Linked DNA regions of Tamandua tetradactyla. The protein of the gene in region 1 purifies or fractionates together with the protein of each later gene. This does not show direct contact. Links are inferred from orthologs where the notes say so. Each region holds a gene or a part of one and is shown on either strand. Other genes may lie near its edges.

Region 1 (6,977 bases):
ATAATTGTACCTTCTTAGAAAGTAAGTATTCTTTAACAGAATTAAATCCACATCCCAAAGACACCAGCATGTGGGTACTCGGCCAAAGGCTGAGAGCCTAAAATTCACATCAAATCACAACTGAATGGATTGGTTCTGAACTGTCTACTTCTTCAGTTAACATATCCCAAAACTTGGGCCTGGTTTACAGATGATTCTGCATGATATCCAGGTACCAACCGAAAGTGGACAGCTGCAGCACTACTACCCCTTTCTGGAATGTCCGTGAAGGACACCTCTGCAAGATGGGGTCAAGAGAGAACACAGGCTTTCAGTTTAGAGGCTGACATACTTCTATCAAGAGTGCTCATGAAATCATAGAGATAGTGATTTTTCTAACATTGTTGGCAATTAAAAGAATGTTTCACAGGACTGTTAGACATTTTTGAGCCCATGGCAGGATTGTATTCATAGAACTCCAGAATTTTAAAATTATATAGGTGTTTTAGTTTCCAAGCTGCTAAAATAAACACCATACAATTGGTTGGCAGAACAACAAGAATTTATTGGCTCACAGTTTCAGGGCCAGTATATTCAAGCTGGCTGGCATCTCGGGGGGTCCTTGGCTTTCCCTCACAAGACGCATGGTAGCATCTTCTCTTTCTTCTGGGTTCCACTGACTTCTAGCTTCTTGCCTTCCTGTGGCTTCTCCCTGTGTGTCCAACTTCCTTTGCTTATAAGGACTTCAGACATATTGGATGAAGGTCCACACTCATTCAGCTTGGCATACCTTAACGAATAACATCTTTAAAAGCCGACATTTACAAATTAGTCCACACCCAAAGAACAGGGGTTGGGACCTGAGCATGCCTTCTGTAGGTGTCATGATTCAATCCCCAACGGAGGAAACATAGAAATCATCTAGTTCGAGCCCCTCAATTTATGAATGGAGGCCTAGGTAACCTGTTCAAGACCATCAACTAACTAGCAGAGCTGGGATAGAAGCCAGTCTCTTCTTCTTAGACCCAGAGTCAACCAGAATTTCAAAAGTGACTTATGAGAACGCTCACTCACTCCATTTCTCACTTCTTTCACTCCTCATACATAAATGCTAATTCTCAAAGAGAAGGGAAGAGGGAGTCAGTGAGATTTAGTATATGATAAGGAAACAGTTTGGGGTTTATACAAATGCTGGTTTGAAACTGTCATGTACCCCAGAAAAACCATGTTCTTTTAATACTAATCCAATCTTGTGGGGCAGACCTATTGTTTGGGTGGGACCTTTTGATTAGGCTGTTTCCATGGAGATATGACCCACCCAGTTGTGGGTAGGACCTTTTGATTAGTTGGAGATGTAATCTCACCCATTCAAGGTGGGTCTTAATTAGTTTACTGGAGTCCTTAAAAGAGCTCGTGGAGAAAAAGAGCTCAGAACTGACACACAGAGCATAGAGATGAAAGCTTAGACACAGTTGTTCAGAGATGCTGAGAGAGCCATTTGAAACCAGAAGCTGGGACAGAAGGGCAGCAGATGTCTCCATGTGCTTTCCCACGTGACAGAGAAACCCTGGAAATTGGCCTTTCTTAAGTGAAGGATTCCTCTTGTTGGTGCCTTAATTTGGACATTTTCACAACCTTAGAATTGTAACTTGTAACTTAATAAATACCCTTTGCAAAAGTCAATCCATTTTTGTTATATTGCATTTTAGCAGCATTAGCAAACCAAAACATAGTCTTGATTTTTCATCCTGATTGTACTACTATTTATATTTTTGAGCTTTAGTTTCTCCATCAGCAAAGTGGGCATGTTATTATTAATAATAAAGTGTCTCATAAAATTATTATGAGGATTAATAATAGCTGATATAAAGCACCCAGCACACAGTAGGTGCTCAACAAGTTATAGCTATGATTAAATGGTAACTCTCCACCAAAACAAAGATATATTAAAATAATCACCCATGTGCCAAAAAAAACCTTCGGTCTTTGAGCAATGCACACTTTACAGTACTGATGCTTTTATATTAAAGTAGCACTGTAATGTTTAAATGAAAGTTACACCTACACCCACACACAGCTGTCTGTTAAAAATATCTTTTATTGAATGAACAATTCACAAACCCAAATCAACTCTATGTGGATCAATATTCCTTTCACTTCCCACTTTTTCATTGGGATGCTCAAAAACAATTCTTTTCTCTTTAGACAGTTTGCTTACTCACAAACAGCCTAACATGAAATGTAAAACATTGTATTTTTTAAAGTATGATAAGCCCTGGAACACCAGGGAATCCACGTAAGGGCTCTGTGGTGAGAACTTCTGAGTGGTAAGCCATTGGAGCTTTAGAGTGGTAAGGAATTACCCAGGGCTCCTCCCCATCGATACAAATACTAGTATTTGCTTAATACTTTATAGCAAACAAAAGGTTTCCATACATACACAATTTTAAATGGTCTTATAGAAACCAAAGAAAGAATTACTTTCCCTAAGGCAACAGAAGTAAGAGTTGGCTTCATAAATGTCTGAATTTACTTTATTGCAGTTTCCTTCCTCCTTTTTATCTTGCCCACCACAGTAGTGACAAACAAAATTCATTCACTTATTCAATAAACAGTTGAGTGCATGTGTCAAACTCTGTTCTTGGTATTGAGGAAACAAAAAAAAAAAATAAAACTAGTCAGGGATCTTCATCTTGAGAAGTCACATTTTGGTGGGAATCAGAGAGACACTTTTATGATAATAAGTACAATTACTGAATACCTACTTCGTGCTAAAAATTACAGTAGGCACTTTTCATTTAATCTTCATCAGGATAGTGTAACGTATGCATCAGACGCATGTATGACAGCTGGGAAGAGGCCTCAATCTGCCCTGAGAGACAAGCATAGTTTCACTAATTACATAGAAAGATGTGCAGAAATATTCCAGGCAGCTCAAAGTTCGTTCTAGTAAGGAGCCAATTCCAAAGAAGGGCATTTTATAGAGAAAAAAATTGCAAGTTCAAAAGTTAAGAGACATGGTAAACTACAGGAGTACTGGGATTTTTGTGTTGTTATATTTTCTCCTGTATCCCCAGCACCTCGAGCAGTGTCTAGTAAATAATGTCTCAGTAAGTAATTGTTGAATGAATACAGGCGTATCATAGGGCTAAGGAAATACTACAGCCTGCGGTTCATTATCGCTGGAAAGGTAGACAAGAATGAAAAGTAAGCCATACCAACTTTAAGAGATCAGGGGTGATGTGGTGATGGATAGTAATAAGGCTAGTTAAGAACAGGAATACTGGTACCCGCCCTGTTATTAACCCTTCTCCCGAGAAAAGTCCAAGGATGCCGCACCGTGAGGGACAGGAAATTGGTCGCTGCGCCAATCGACACTCACAAAGGAGGGCTCTCTGACCGAAGCTGGACTGAAGCACATGGTTTGGGCTCTAAATCTAAGTAGAGGCTACTACTCTTCTCCTTCCACCCCATCCTTCCCTCGTTCCTCGTTTGGTTCCACCACCTACTCAAAACACTCGAAACTGCATTCCGGCGATCCCCAGCACCACGCCACGAACCCTAGAGCGCGTACCGGCCCTGCCCCGCCCTTCTACTCTACAGGACGCCGTGAGAGCGCACGCGCGCCTTTCAGAACGAAGCGCGCACCCGCGAGCTTCCCGCATCCCCGTGCTCATCCGGGTCCCACTGAGTCTCAGCCAATGGTAGTGGCTCACGGCCCTCTGGGGCGAGGTTTAGTCTTCCCTCACATGGGGCCTATGATTGCTGCTGGCGCCTCCAGGGAACGGCGACCAAAAAGCGGAGTACAGGGCCTGAGTCAGGGAGCCCAACTTCTGGACGAGAGTCGACAGCTTTGGGGCTGAGGGACCTTACACCCTTAAAAGCACCCGAACCGCGAACAGATTCTTCAACCAGAGCCGGTGTAGTAAACACACTTCAGAAACGTGAGGTGCCGGTGGTCACATGGGGAGAGCGCCCACCAATGATGAGTCAGGGGCGGGGCCGAGGCCGCTGACGCGGCGGCGGCGGCGGCGGCGGAGTCACCCGGGCAGCCTCGGGATCGGTAGCCCACCGGCTACCGTCCAGCAGTCTAGACCCCGGCCTTCGTCTTTGCTGGTTTTTCCCCCGCCGAGAGGCAGCGTTGCTGACAATGGCTGAACCCTCTCTCCTTCCTCGCGGTGACTCGCCTCCGGCGGGCCATTTTCTCCTCACGGGCCGGCTCGGTGGGGCGAGGTTTCCGTGACCAACCACCTGGGACTGCCGGTGCCGGCTCCGGCCATCGTGGCGGTTCGAGCTCCTGGAACTTGCTCACACTCCGGGGATCCGAGGCCCTCGAACGTATGCGTGTCGTCTAGGCGATTGCGGCCGGCGTCGGGCCCTAAAAGGTGTCACTCCCGGACACCGCTGACTGGGCAACCTCCATTCGTCTTCCAGCTGCGCCTCCGGCGCAGTTTCCGCCGGTCTCCTCCTCGGAGTAATTTTTTCCTCTGTCCCCTCCACCGCCCTTTCCTCGCTCCTTGGGGGCGGCGATTCTCCTGGAAGCGAAGGTGTAGGTTATGAGCTGGATCTTCCTTGCTTAAATCGCTCTCTGGAGGGGCTCGTCGCCGGGATGGGAGTGAACGCGGTGCACTGGTTCCGAAAGGGGCTCCGGCTTCACGACAACCCCGCGCTGAAAGAATGCATTCAGGGCGCCGACACCATCCGCTGCGTCTACATACTGGACCCCTGGTTCGCCGGCTCCTCCAACGTGGGGATCAACAGGTGGCGGTGAGTGAATCCTGGGGAAAATTAATTCCGGTGTTTGATGAATCCGGACTTGATAAGCGATCAGCCGAATCCGAGAGTCTTGACCTGGGAGCGCCTTGCTTGTACTATTTAAGAATTGTAGGTGCTTTATGTTCGTATCAAATATAATTGACAGTATTTTTTCTGGCCAGAGAGTCAGCTTGGCCTTCATCTTTGTGTCACTACGCTCATGGGACCTCTTCCCCCTGAGTTTAGGGAGACTTAGCAGCGGTGGAGTTAAACAGCTTTTCAGTCCTTAGTGGCCTCGGGATTGATTTCCTGGGCCTCTTTGTGGCCTTCAAAAGGATCATTGTTTTTAATGTTTACGTTTGTGTAAGTAATTCATAGTATGAAAAAAAAATCATTCATTCAGTACAGTCGTCTCCAAATACAGTTTTCTTCCACCTTCAGGTTGCTGTAGGAAAAGCAAGAGAAGCATCATTATCTGGTTTCTCTATACTCAGTGTTCTTCTCAACTCCTCCTTGTGGTTGACCAGACAAAGCACACTTTTTCTTTCTAGGCAAAGTATAATCCTTCTAGGGACCAGAGATCTGAAAGAAATCTAAGAGAAGCTTTATTATCTGTTCCTGAAGTATCAGGCTAGGTGATTGTTGGACCTCCTGGTGGAAATAAAATTATTCATCTAACGAATAGAATAGTGGTCACCTCCTGTGTGCCAGGTACTGCTTTAAATGCCAGAGATACAGCAATGAAGGAAACAGAAATTCTTGTCTTCTTTGAGCGTATATCCCAAAATGTGAAATACGTAATATTTTAGGTAGTGGTAAATGCTATGGGGGCAAAAAGAGCAGAAAAAAGAGATAAGGAATATAGGGATGGGCTTTGTAATTTTAAATAGGTTGATTGGGGGAAACTCATTGAAAAGGTGATATTTGAACAAAGACATGAAGGAGGTAATGGAATGTGGATATGTAAGGAAAGAGCATTCCAGGCCGACGGAACCGTAAGAAAGAGAGCCTGAGGAGGAAACATGCTTGCCTTTGGAGGGAAAATGGGAGGAGTCAGTATTGACTGGAGGGGAAAAAATTAGGTGACAGTATAAGTGAGCAGAAAAGTAGTAGTAGTAGAAGAGGTCAGAGATGTAATAGGACCAGATTGAATAGATCTTTATAGACATTTGTCAAGATTTGTACTTTTACTGAGTTAAGTAGGAAGACGGGATCTGAGTTAAGTTTGAAAAGAATTTCTCTTGCTGTGATTCTGAGAACAGACAAGACTGGGGGCTGGAGGTGGACAAGAAGCGGGAAGACCATTTAGAAAGCTATTGCGTTCTTCTGGGAGAGAGATGATAAGGGTCTGGACTGTGGTGATAATGGAGGAAGTGGTGAGAAGAATTCAAATGCTGGGTGTATTTTGAAGGCAGAACCCCCAGTGTTTGTTGACAAATTGGATATGTTGGTGTGAGAAAAAGAGTAGTTAGGAATAATTTCAAGATTTTTAACTTGATAAGCTAGTGGGATAGAGTTGCACTTTGCTAAGAAAATGAAGTCAGAGAAGTCATTAAGAGGATGATTGAGTCCTCTTGGGCCTGGTTAAGTTTGAGATGGAGTGCTTTACCTATTTCATATGCTGCTGATAGGTCAAGGAAGATGAGGGCTGCAATTAAAAACTGAATTTAGCATTTTGAGGTCATTTGTAATCTTGTTGAGAGTTCAAGTGGTTTCAGTAGTGTCAGAAACAAGAGCCATTTTGGAACAAAGAGAGGTAGGGAGAGGGTTGGGGACAACTCACATGGACAGCTCTCTGGAGAACTTTTACTATAAGGGGATCAGAGAAATGGTGTGGTTCCTGGAGGGGGATGTGAAGTTGAAGATTCTTTTTAAGATGGAAGAAATTACAGTATGTTTGTATGCTGAAGGAAATGATACAGCAACTATATGTAAAACAATTTTTCATTAGCAGAAATAGTGTCATTAAACTTCACATCCTAAAGAGGCAGGGACTGAGTTATATTCAATCTGTTCTCATAGCACCAGATTGAGTGCGTTTTAGTAACTCAATTACTTTTTGTTGAATGAAGTGACATCCTGATGTCTGTAATTTTATATTTTAACAACTTTATTAATTTCCCTATTGACTATAGGATAAAGCCCAAATTCCTTACCTTGACATTCAAAATCTGCCTTTTGACCTTTGTAATCTCATTTTTTCTTTTCATATGTGACCTCAACTATTCAGGGAAAAAACAAAC
Region 2 (7,896 bases), on another chromosome or scaffold:
GTGAAGAGATATATAAGAGGTAAAGAGATGAATTGAGAAGAGCAAACATAAAGTCCTTAAGACCAAAATAGAAGGACTGGTGGGACAGGAATCTTTTTAGAGATAAAGGCTTGGGTTTTAATGCCCTATAAGGACAAGAGATGAGTTTGCAAGAGAAGTTGTAACTGAAATCCCTGCATAAAGCAGGAATTTTGAAGATCTTCATCCTCCTTAAGAAATGTTTAACTTAGGACACAAAGAGATGAACAACAAACTAATATGTCTTTGAATGGGATCTGGTTTTAAAAAGAAGGTCTTTTTAAACGTTTTTACTGTGAAATTTAACATTTATACATAAAAGTGATAAATTTCAAAGTACATTTTAATGAGCAGCTTTAGAACAAATTTCAGTGTATGGTATGGGGTACAGTTCCACCATTTCAGGTGTTTACTTCTAGCTGCCCTAAGACACTGGAGACTAAAAAGGAATATCAATATAATGATTAAGTAATCATATTCATTTGTTAAATCCTATCTTCTCTGATACAACTCCTCCTTCTCCTATGATCCTACTCCCACTGTTTTTTTTTTTTTTCCACTTTCAAACCCATTTTTTATTTTCTTTTTTCCTCCTCAACATACAGAACCTCAGGGGTGTCTACATAACCACATTTATTGCAGCTATAAAGTCACTTGATACTGGTCAGGTACCATTTATTCTTTTATCATTTTATCCCTAAAAGTTGTTGGCATCAAAATACGACAGTTAACCAGTGTTAAATCCATAAAATATTTACAGAGTATAGCGCATTAAGTTTTAGACACCTGGCAATTAAACCACATAAAACCAGGACAAGACCCCCATTACACATGTTCTGAGTCAGGCATTTAGCAGCCCCTAATACAGCATCTTTACACTAGTCAAAGGGCGGCAGAGGCAGTAGCTTTGGAGCACACTGAATATTATGATCTGGAAGCACATTATGATGTTACCCCAGTGTTATGTACCAACCCACTTTCTCCAAGGTAGTCTCATAATTCTAAAATGGCAGGTCCAGCTGATACAAAATGAAGACAAGACAACACAAAATTTATTCTGTGAAAATATCCTACTATACTATGCCTTCACTGTAATTTTGAACACAACTTGTCTCAAAAACTTGTCGTGATCATCCTGGCATTTTAGATTGGGTGGCCCATCAATCTGGCACTCAACTATCATCTCTTTCTTGGTACTGTTGGAGCCAAATCCTGGCTGGACAGAAACTACTGGCTAAATATTCCACGTGCATTTTTTTTCCCACAATATGGAAAATATTTTAAGTCTACAATTGCACTGTGAGGATAATTTAATAAAACTGCCATGTTTCCGTCCTTGGGAATGCATATTATCCTTGGTTCTCCTTCAGGTTTTAATCCAATTATTCTGTTCATTTTCACAAGAATATAAGGTTTTCCTTTGGAATAGCCAAAGTCAGGATCTCTCATACCACTGAATGCTTCAAGTAAGTGATCAACAAACTGACATGCATGATAATCTGGGCCTTTCTATTCAAAAAGTACTCCATCAGGGAAGACCATGACATTTTTCTGTCCTTGTAAATCATATGGCCTTAGAAGATTAGTAATGTCTTCAATGTATGCTTTATAGGAATCTGAATCAGACAAACCGATTGTATATTCCAATGCCGTAAATGGTTTTGGGAAAACCATAAGTCCTGGACTAGGAAGCTGGTCACAGTATTTTGGAACCTTATCATTCAGAGTCTGAAGCATAACCCACATTGTGAATGTGAAGAGTGCAGCCAGGAGCCCATAGAAGACTAGGTAGAAAAGCAAGATCAAACTGCAGCTCTTGGCGGTGCGCCCCAGGCACTCTCTAGTGGTTAGGTTGTAGACAAAGAGCTTCTACACTGCCAAGCTCTCATGGAAGAACTTCCCTTCTCCCACTCTTTAGGGATATTTGGGCAATGGTCATTCTTCTTCATGTTTAAAAGGGGTGCCGACATTATGGGGTAGGAGTATGCAGATGGTTGATGGTCTTGGAGAAACTGGTAACTAGGTTTCTGGGCTTTTCTGGCCTAGGAACCATCTGAAAGTTATAGGTTTCTGAAAAATAGTGAGTGAAACTTTCATAGAATCTCAGAGCACTGGGTACTCTTGAGGATTTACAGGGCTATGACAATTATTATTATCTAGCTGCAGTTTGCATAAGAGTAACCTCCAGAATAGCTTCTCAACTCTATTTGAAATCTCTTAGCCACTGATATCTTACTTATTTTACATTTCTTCTCCCCGTTTTAGCCAGGTAGGCATTGTCAATCCCACAGTACCAGGGCCAGGCTTATCCCTGGAAGTCCTGCCCATATTGCCAGGGAGACTTATATCACTGGAAGAAAGCCTTTTTGAGAATTCATAACCACGGGCCTACCCTCACACAGGTTGGAATTTGAATTTATACTCTCTTTATAACTTAAGTAACCCAAAATTAAGAAATTATTATAAAAATTGTTCCTGGCTAGTAATAGCCTGAAGCTACCGGCAAAAGCAAACTAAAAAACCTCTCTGGAATGACGTGCACTCAACCAGGTTGCACAAGATTTCTAGAATTAAAGCATCACAAAGGATGAATTCACAATTCAAAATCATAGAATACATTAAGGACAACCCATCATGAGCAAACACTGACACGTATCTAGATTAGACCCCTGATTACTTAATATGACTAAAAAGATTACAGAAAAATAAGAGAAGAATTTAAAACATGAGAAAAGAACATCAAGAAAGATCATGCAGATGTTTTACAGAACCAAATGAAACTTTTAGAAATAAAAAACACAGGCAATGACTGGGTTAAGCAGATACTGAATAGAACTGAAAAGAGAATTAGTGAATTGTAAGACAGTTCTGAGAAAACTACAAAGAATTAAATATAGAAAAATAAAGAAATAACTGTGAAATTAAGAGATACGGCAGCAAACCTCCCACGTAGAAAAATCCCATATAGTTTAAGGAGCATAATTCCCCACCCCGCCAGTATGGGTTAGACATAGTGAGTTCCTTACAAACAGAGCATAGAAGGGGAAGAAAAGAGTATCTACTGTGGAGAAAGTTGACCTCAACACCTGATCAATGCTAACACCTACAGGGTTAAGTCATGATGATAGCATGCGCCTGATGTGATGGGATGAGAATGGTATTTCACCCCTGTGGACTCCTTCCCAAACACCCATAACCCTGGTCTTATGAAAAAAAACATCAGAAAAACCCTAATTGAAGAACATTTTACAAAATACCAGATCAGCTTTCCTCAAAACTGTCAAACTCCTCAAAAACAGGTAAGTCTGAGATGGTGTATAAGGAACTACGGCCACATAACCTAGTCTTTCCTGGTCAGCGGGTGCCTAGGTGGAGTGGTCCTGGGAGCGTTCTGTTCCCAGAGGAAGGGGTACATTTTCTGTACAGAATTGAAAAACAATAACAAAACTGACTATAAGTTGTCCTGCTTTTATTATCATAATGCACCTGCAATTCTAAACAAGTTCAATAATAAAATATTGCTCCCTCCTGGATGGAACTACTCCACAGTCACCCTTTCCAACCCCTGTGCCAATGATGTTGACTGATACAATGGACAACTGTAATTACTGAATGATTTATAAATAAGCAGAGGTTTTCTTTCTGAAAAAAAGTGAAATAAAAAATTTAAATAACTCTAACAGGAAAAAGAGGGGAGGTTTAAATGCAAAGTGTGCTAAGGTCCTCCTCTACTTCAGGAGGAAAATGGGGAAGTGAAAAGCGGCCACTTTTGGAGGGTGAGAGTTTTAATGTGATATACTGGCTATGTTTTTTGATTGGTTGAAGTGTTTTGCTGTTAACCTAGTTTCAAATAAATGGACCTGAATTTGACCTATTTGCCTTTCTTCTTCTAATAATTAGCAATGCCTTTCCTAGAACGTCCTATTGTTACCCAGTCACTAAGGGACCTAAAAAAATATTGAAGTTCAGGTACAGCTGCATTAATAAGCTGCTAGAGACTGTTCCATTTTAGAAAGCTATTTACTAATCTCAGGAACCTATTTACCTCATAAAAACAAAGATGGTTTTTAAAATAGAAATAATAACAAATAATTCCTATTAAAAAATCATTTTAGGAAGATTTAGAAAATAATTACCTAAATAGAAATCATCTATAATCCCACCCTTAATACGGCAACCATCCGGTTATATTTCCTTGCAGTGTTTTAAACATTTAATGCATATATTACGTGTATATATTTTTAGAGCCTGTATTTTTAACCCCTTAGGTTATGGGGCACTAGGCGTAGCCATCCCGAAGGCCATCTCAGCGAGCTGTCAACAGCCACTGTTTATCCTTCCGCCCAGGGGAACCGGCTGCGGAGTTACAGCAGACTCGAAACTTCTCTTTTCTTCTTTTTGCACCACCTCCCTAAACTTTCCTATTTTAGCAATAATTTTAAAAGTAAGAGCCACGTCTGAGGAGATAAAGGTGGCAGCCTCTCTGGAACCAGGCGCTGGAAGCCCGCAGCCGCGCGGGGAAGGCACACCCGGCTCCGGCTGCGCACGCTACGGCTGGGCGCGGCTCCTCTACCGTCCTCCGCAGCGCGCACCCGCCCCACGCGGGGGGAGACGCGCCGGGAAAGCGCGCGGCCGTGAGCCGCAGGCGCCATTTTGGACTCCGTGTCTGGGCTGAGACGCTGGGCAGCTCCGTGGTGGCCGCAGCTCGCTGAGGGAGTCTGTCGCAGTGGCGGAAGGACCCGGAAGGGGGTCGCGTCGGCGTGGGACTGAAAAAGAAGACTTCTCCTGGGTAGCCACAGCCGCAAAGGTGGAGCCACGTTGGCGCCCGCCGGGGGACCAGCGCCTCGGATGCGGGCGGAGCGCGGGGGGCCGCGGCGGCGGGAGCGCGAAGCGGGGTTCCCGGGGGGCCTCATGTGAGAGCCGCGGGACCAGCCGCCGCCCTCCTCCCCGGACCCCGGGGTGGTGTATGGGGGAAGCCGCCCCCGGCAGCAGGTAACGGCGGAGGGGCAGGGCCGGAGCCCCGCTGCGACGACGGGGCCGGGGGAGGGTCTGCAGTCCTCTTCTTGATGGGCGGGGTTCGCGGGGTCCCCGGCGTGCGGGGGAGCGCCCCTTGGACGCTGCGGGCGGGGCGCCGGGCGCGGCTCCCAGACCTTGGAGCCTGTTTGGGGGCGTTTCCCCGCGGTGCCTGCTTCCAAACGTCAACAAGGCGTGGTGCCTGTGCGGCGGTCGCGTGCGGCCCTCCCCGTGACGCCGCGGAGCTCGCCGCAGCTCCTGCCGCGCTTGGCGGGCTTTGGTGACAGGTACTGTGGGGTTCGCGCCCCGCCAGTTCCTTTTCGGCGTCGGCTACACCAATGCTCGTAGCTTGAGAAATTACAGGGATTAGGATGTCAAAACGAACTGAAGGGTAGAGGCAGGAGTTATATCAGGGAAAGCCAATCCGTGGAGGTGGCGGAGGGAGGCAGAGACGCTCCCGCCGCGTAGCCAAGTGGAAAACTTGGTCAGCTTGTGCTGAGCAGCATTGTGCTTCCTTTTCGCGTGAACAGCCTTTTTAGGTGGAACTGCAGATAGTGCTCAGAAAGCAGCCCATCAAATGACTGGCTTGCATCTCCGAGTTAAGAATTGAAAGAGATTTAATTAATTTGTTGATGTCCGCCGAGTGGCCTGTCTTTTAATTAGAATCTTCTTTTTAACTTGAAAAAAGTTAGCTTCTACTATTCGTGAAATGTTTATAAAAATGCCATCAACTTCCCAGTGATCTACATATGATTACTGGATGTGTTCACCACGTTCTCCCTACCATCCAGTTCTGAGAGTTAATGCTGTTTCCACTTTTCTATTGTATTCCAGTCAAGGAATATATATTAATTTTGATATTAGTCAAGGCAAAACAAAAATGGAAAGGAGATTTGATGCAAAAACAGGCATTTAGCTTTCAAGAGCTAACTGCTGATGGGCTTTAAAAATTATTACATATCCAGCATATGTGAAAGTGCTGATGCAATGAGGGGCATACAGCAGCGTGTTCTCTGGTGAGCTGAAATCTATTTGATGAGTAATTTGACTGTTCCTGTCAGTTTATGGAACTGTTAGTTACTTCAGTAGCTCTCTTTGCTGCTCAACTAGTTTGTAGTTTTTCCTCTTAGGTTTTTTGGGGGGAGAGGCAGTTCCCAATAATATCAGTCCGTTCACTCATCAGAAGCTCTAATAAGTTGAATTAATTATTTGGGGCCTCAAAAGTTGTAATGTGAAATTAAACTGCCTAAGCAGCTCTGCGGAGGCCTGATTTTGTTGCTCAAGAAAGTCTCATTGATGTGTATTGTCCATATCTGTCCTACCCTCTCCTGTTCAGATATAAAAGGTGTTTTCTCTTTGACTAAAAGTAGAAGATATATAAGTTTACTGACATAAATTATTTGCAGACTGGTGGATCTGAATCGTTTAATTTTCTATACAGCAGTTTCATGTGCAGATAGAGTAAATAAAATATTTTTGAAAGCAGTGTAAATTTTTGCACGAAAAATTGGCATTTTAAAATTGTATTAAATGCCCACTCCTTTTATTTTCATGCATAAATGAAGACAATAGATTATTGTTTTTTGTCTGCATTTAGCCTTATATTTGTAGATTTGCTTTTTAAATCTAGGTTAAGATCCTAATTATGATATAATGTAGTTCAATGACATATGGCAATTGATAGATTTTTGTTCAGCTACTCATAAACTAATCAATGTTTAAAATATACTTTGGTGAACATGGAAATACTATACCTTAGTGTTGAATACTTTGGGTTTTTTTTTCCCTCCTACTCCCAACTTGGAAAAGTATTGAAATATACTTGAAAACAGGGCTAAATAAACAAATGTATCTATTGTTAGGATCAGCAGTTTTACCAAAGATAATTGTGTGAATGACCAGTTTATTTTTTAAACAGCTTTCTTGAGATATATAGTTCACTGATGATACATTTCACCCATTTAAAGTGTACTTTATTGTTTTAAACATTTTTCATTATAATAAAACATACATGGCTTAAAATTTCCCCTTTTAACTACTTTCATGTACACAATTCAGTGATACTAATTACATTCACAGATGCTCACATGGTGTGCTATCATCACCACCACCCCAGTATCATTTTTGTTTATATGTCCATATATTCTAAAGTAAGGCTAATAATTGCAGCTTTTAATAGAGTATTTCTGGTTTTAGAAGACTTTTCTCCAAAAAAATGGGGTCAGCAATCTATAATGAGGAGTAGAAATTGTCAAGATTGCTGTATTCTGTTATGAATCTTTGTATTTTAAAATTCTGAGTAGTTTCAGGTAGTCAGAGGAAAAATTATAAGCTTTGAATAGCAAATGCTTAGTTCTTTGGCCCAAATTTTATATGCTAAAATTAAAGTATGACTTTAAAACAAGTTAAAGCAGAAAAATGGGTCATAATGACAGTGTAATCTCAACCTTTGGTAGGACATTACTACTAGGAGAGGTTTCTTCTTTTTTTTTTAATTTTAAAGATTATATTGTAGATTATACCTTTGTTTAAAATCACTTCAAAATGTGTTAAAAGTTAATAAGTTTCAGTTTTCCATAAAAGTACCCTGTTAACTATTATTTTTGTTATTCTATTTTCTCCCATCCTCTCTGTCTTCTCAGTAGGCTATATATCATTTATTTCACTTAACTCAGATGCTTGGAAGTAGGAGCAATGAGGCATAGGCAGTTTATTGTACATATGCTAAGACCTGGGCTCATTTTCATGGCATGGAGGTCAGGCTCCTCTTGCCATTCTGCCTCTATTCTCCAGCTCCTAATCCTCTTTCACAAGTTTTGCTAGCTACTGGAGAGAGCTGTTCGGTTTATGATTATTCTTATGCAT

What was found.
Region 2: the proteins of CRY1 (region 1) and FBXL3 purify together in Homo sapiens (affinity purification with mass spectrometry; 4 studies listed by BioGRID and IntAct, counting the BioPlex papers as one, with this or other methods). This does not show direct contact. The link is inferred for Tamandua tetradactyla from reciprocal best matches to the Homo sapiens genes CRY1 and FBXL3.

Annotation. Positions count from the first base shown.
Region 1 is NC_135333.1:23,633,908-23,640,884, reverse strand, and holds the start of CRY1 (cryptochrome-1), read left to right. Parts: upstream 1-3,965; 5' UTR 3,966-4,588; coding exon 4,589-4,746; intron 4,747-6,977.
Region 2 is NC_135330.1:144,769,365-144,777,260, reverse strand, and holds the start of FBXL3 (F-box/LRR-repeat protein 3), read left to right. Parts: upstream 1-4,880; 5' UTR 4,881-4,984; coding exon 4,985-5,010; intron 5,011-5,298; exon of another isoform or gene 5,299-5,318; intron 5,319-7,896. UniProt on the Homo sapiens protein: Substrate-recognition component of the SCF(FBXL3) E3 ubiquitin ligase complex involved in circadian rhythm function. Plays a key role in the maintenance of both the speed and the robustness of the circadian clock oscillation.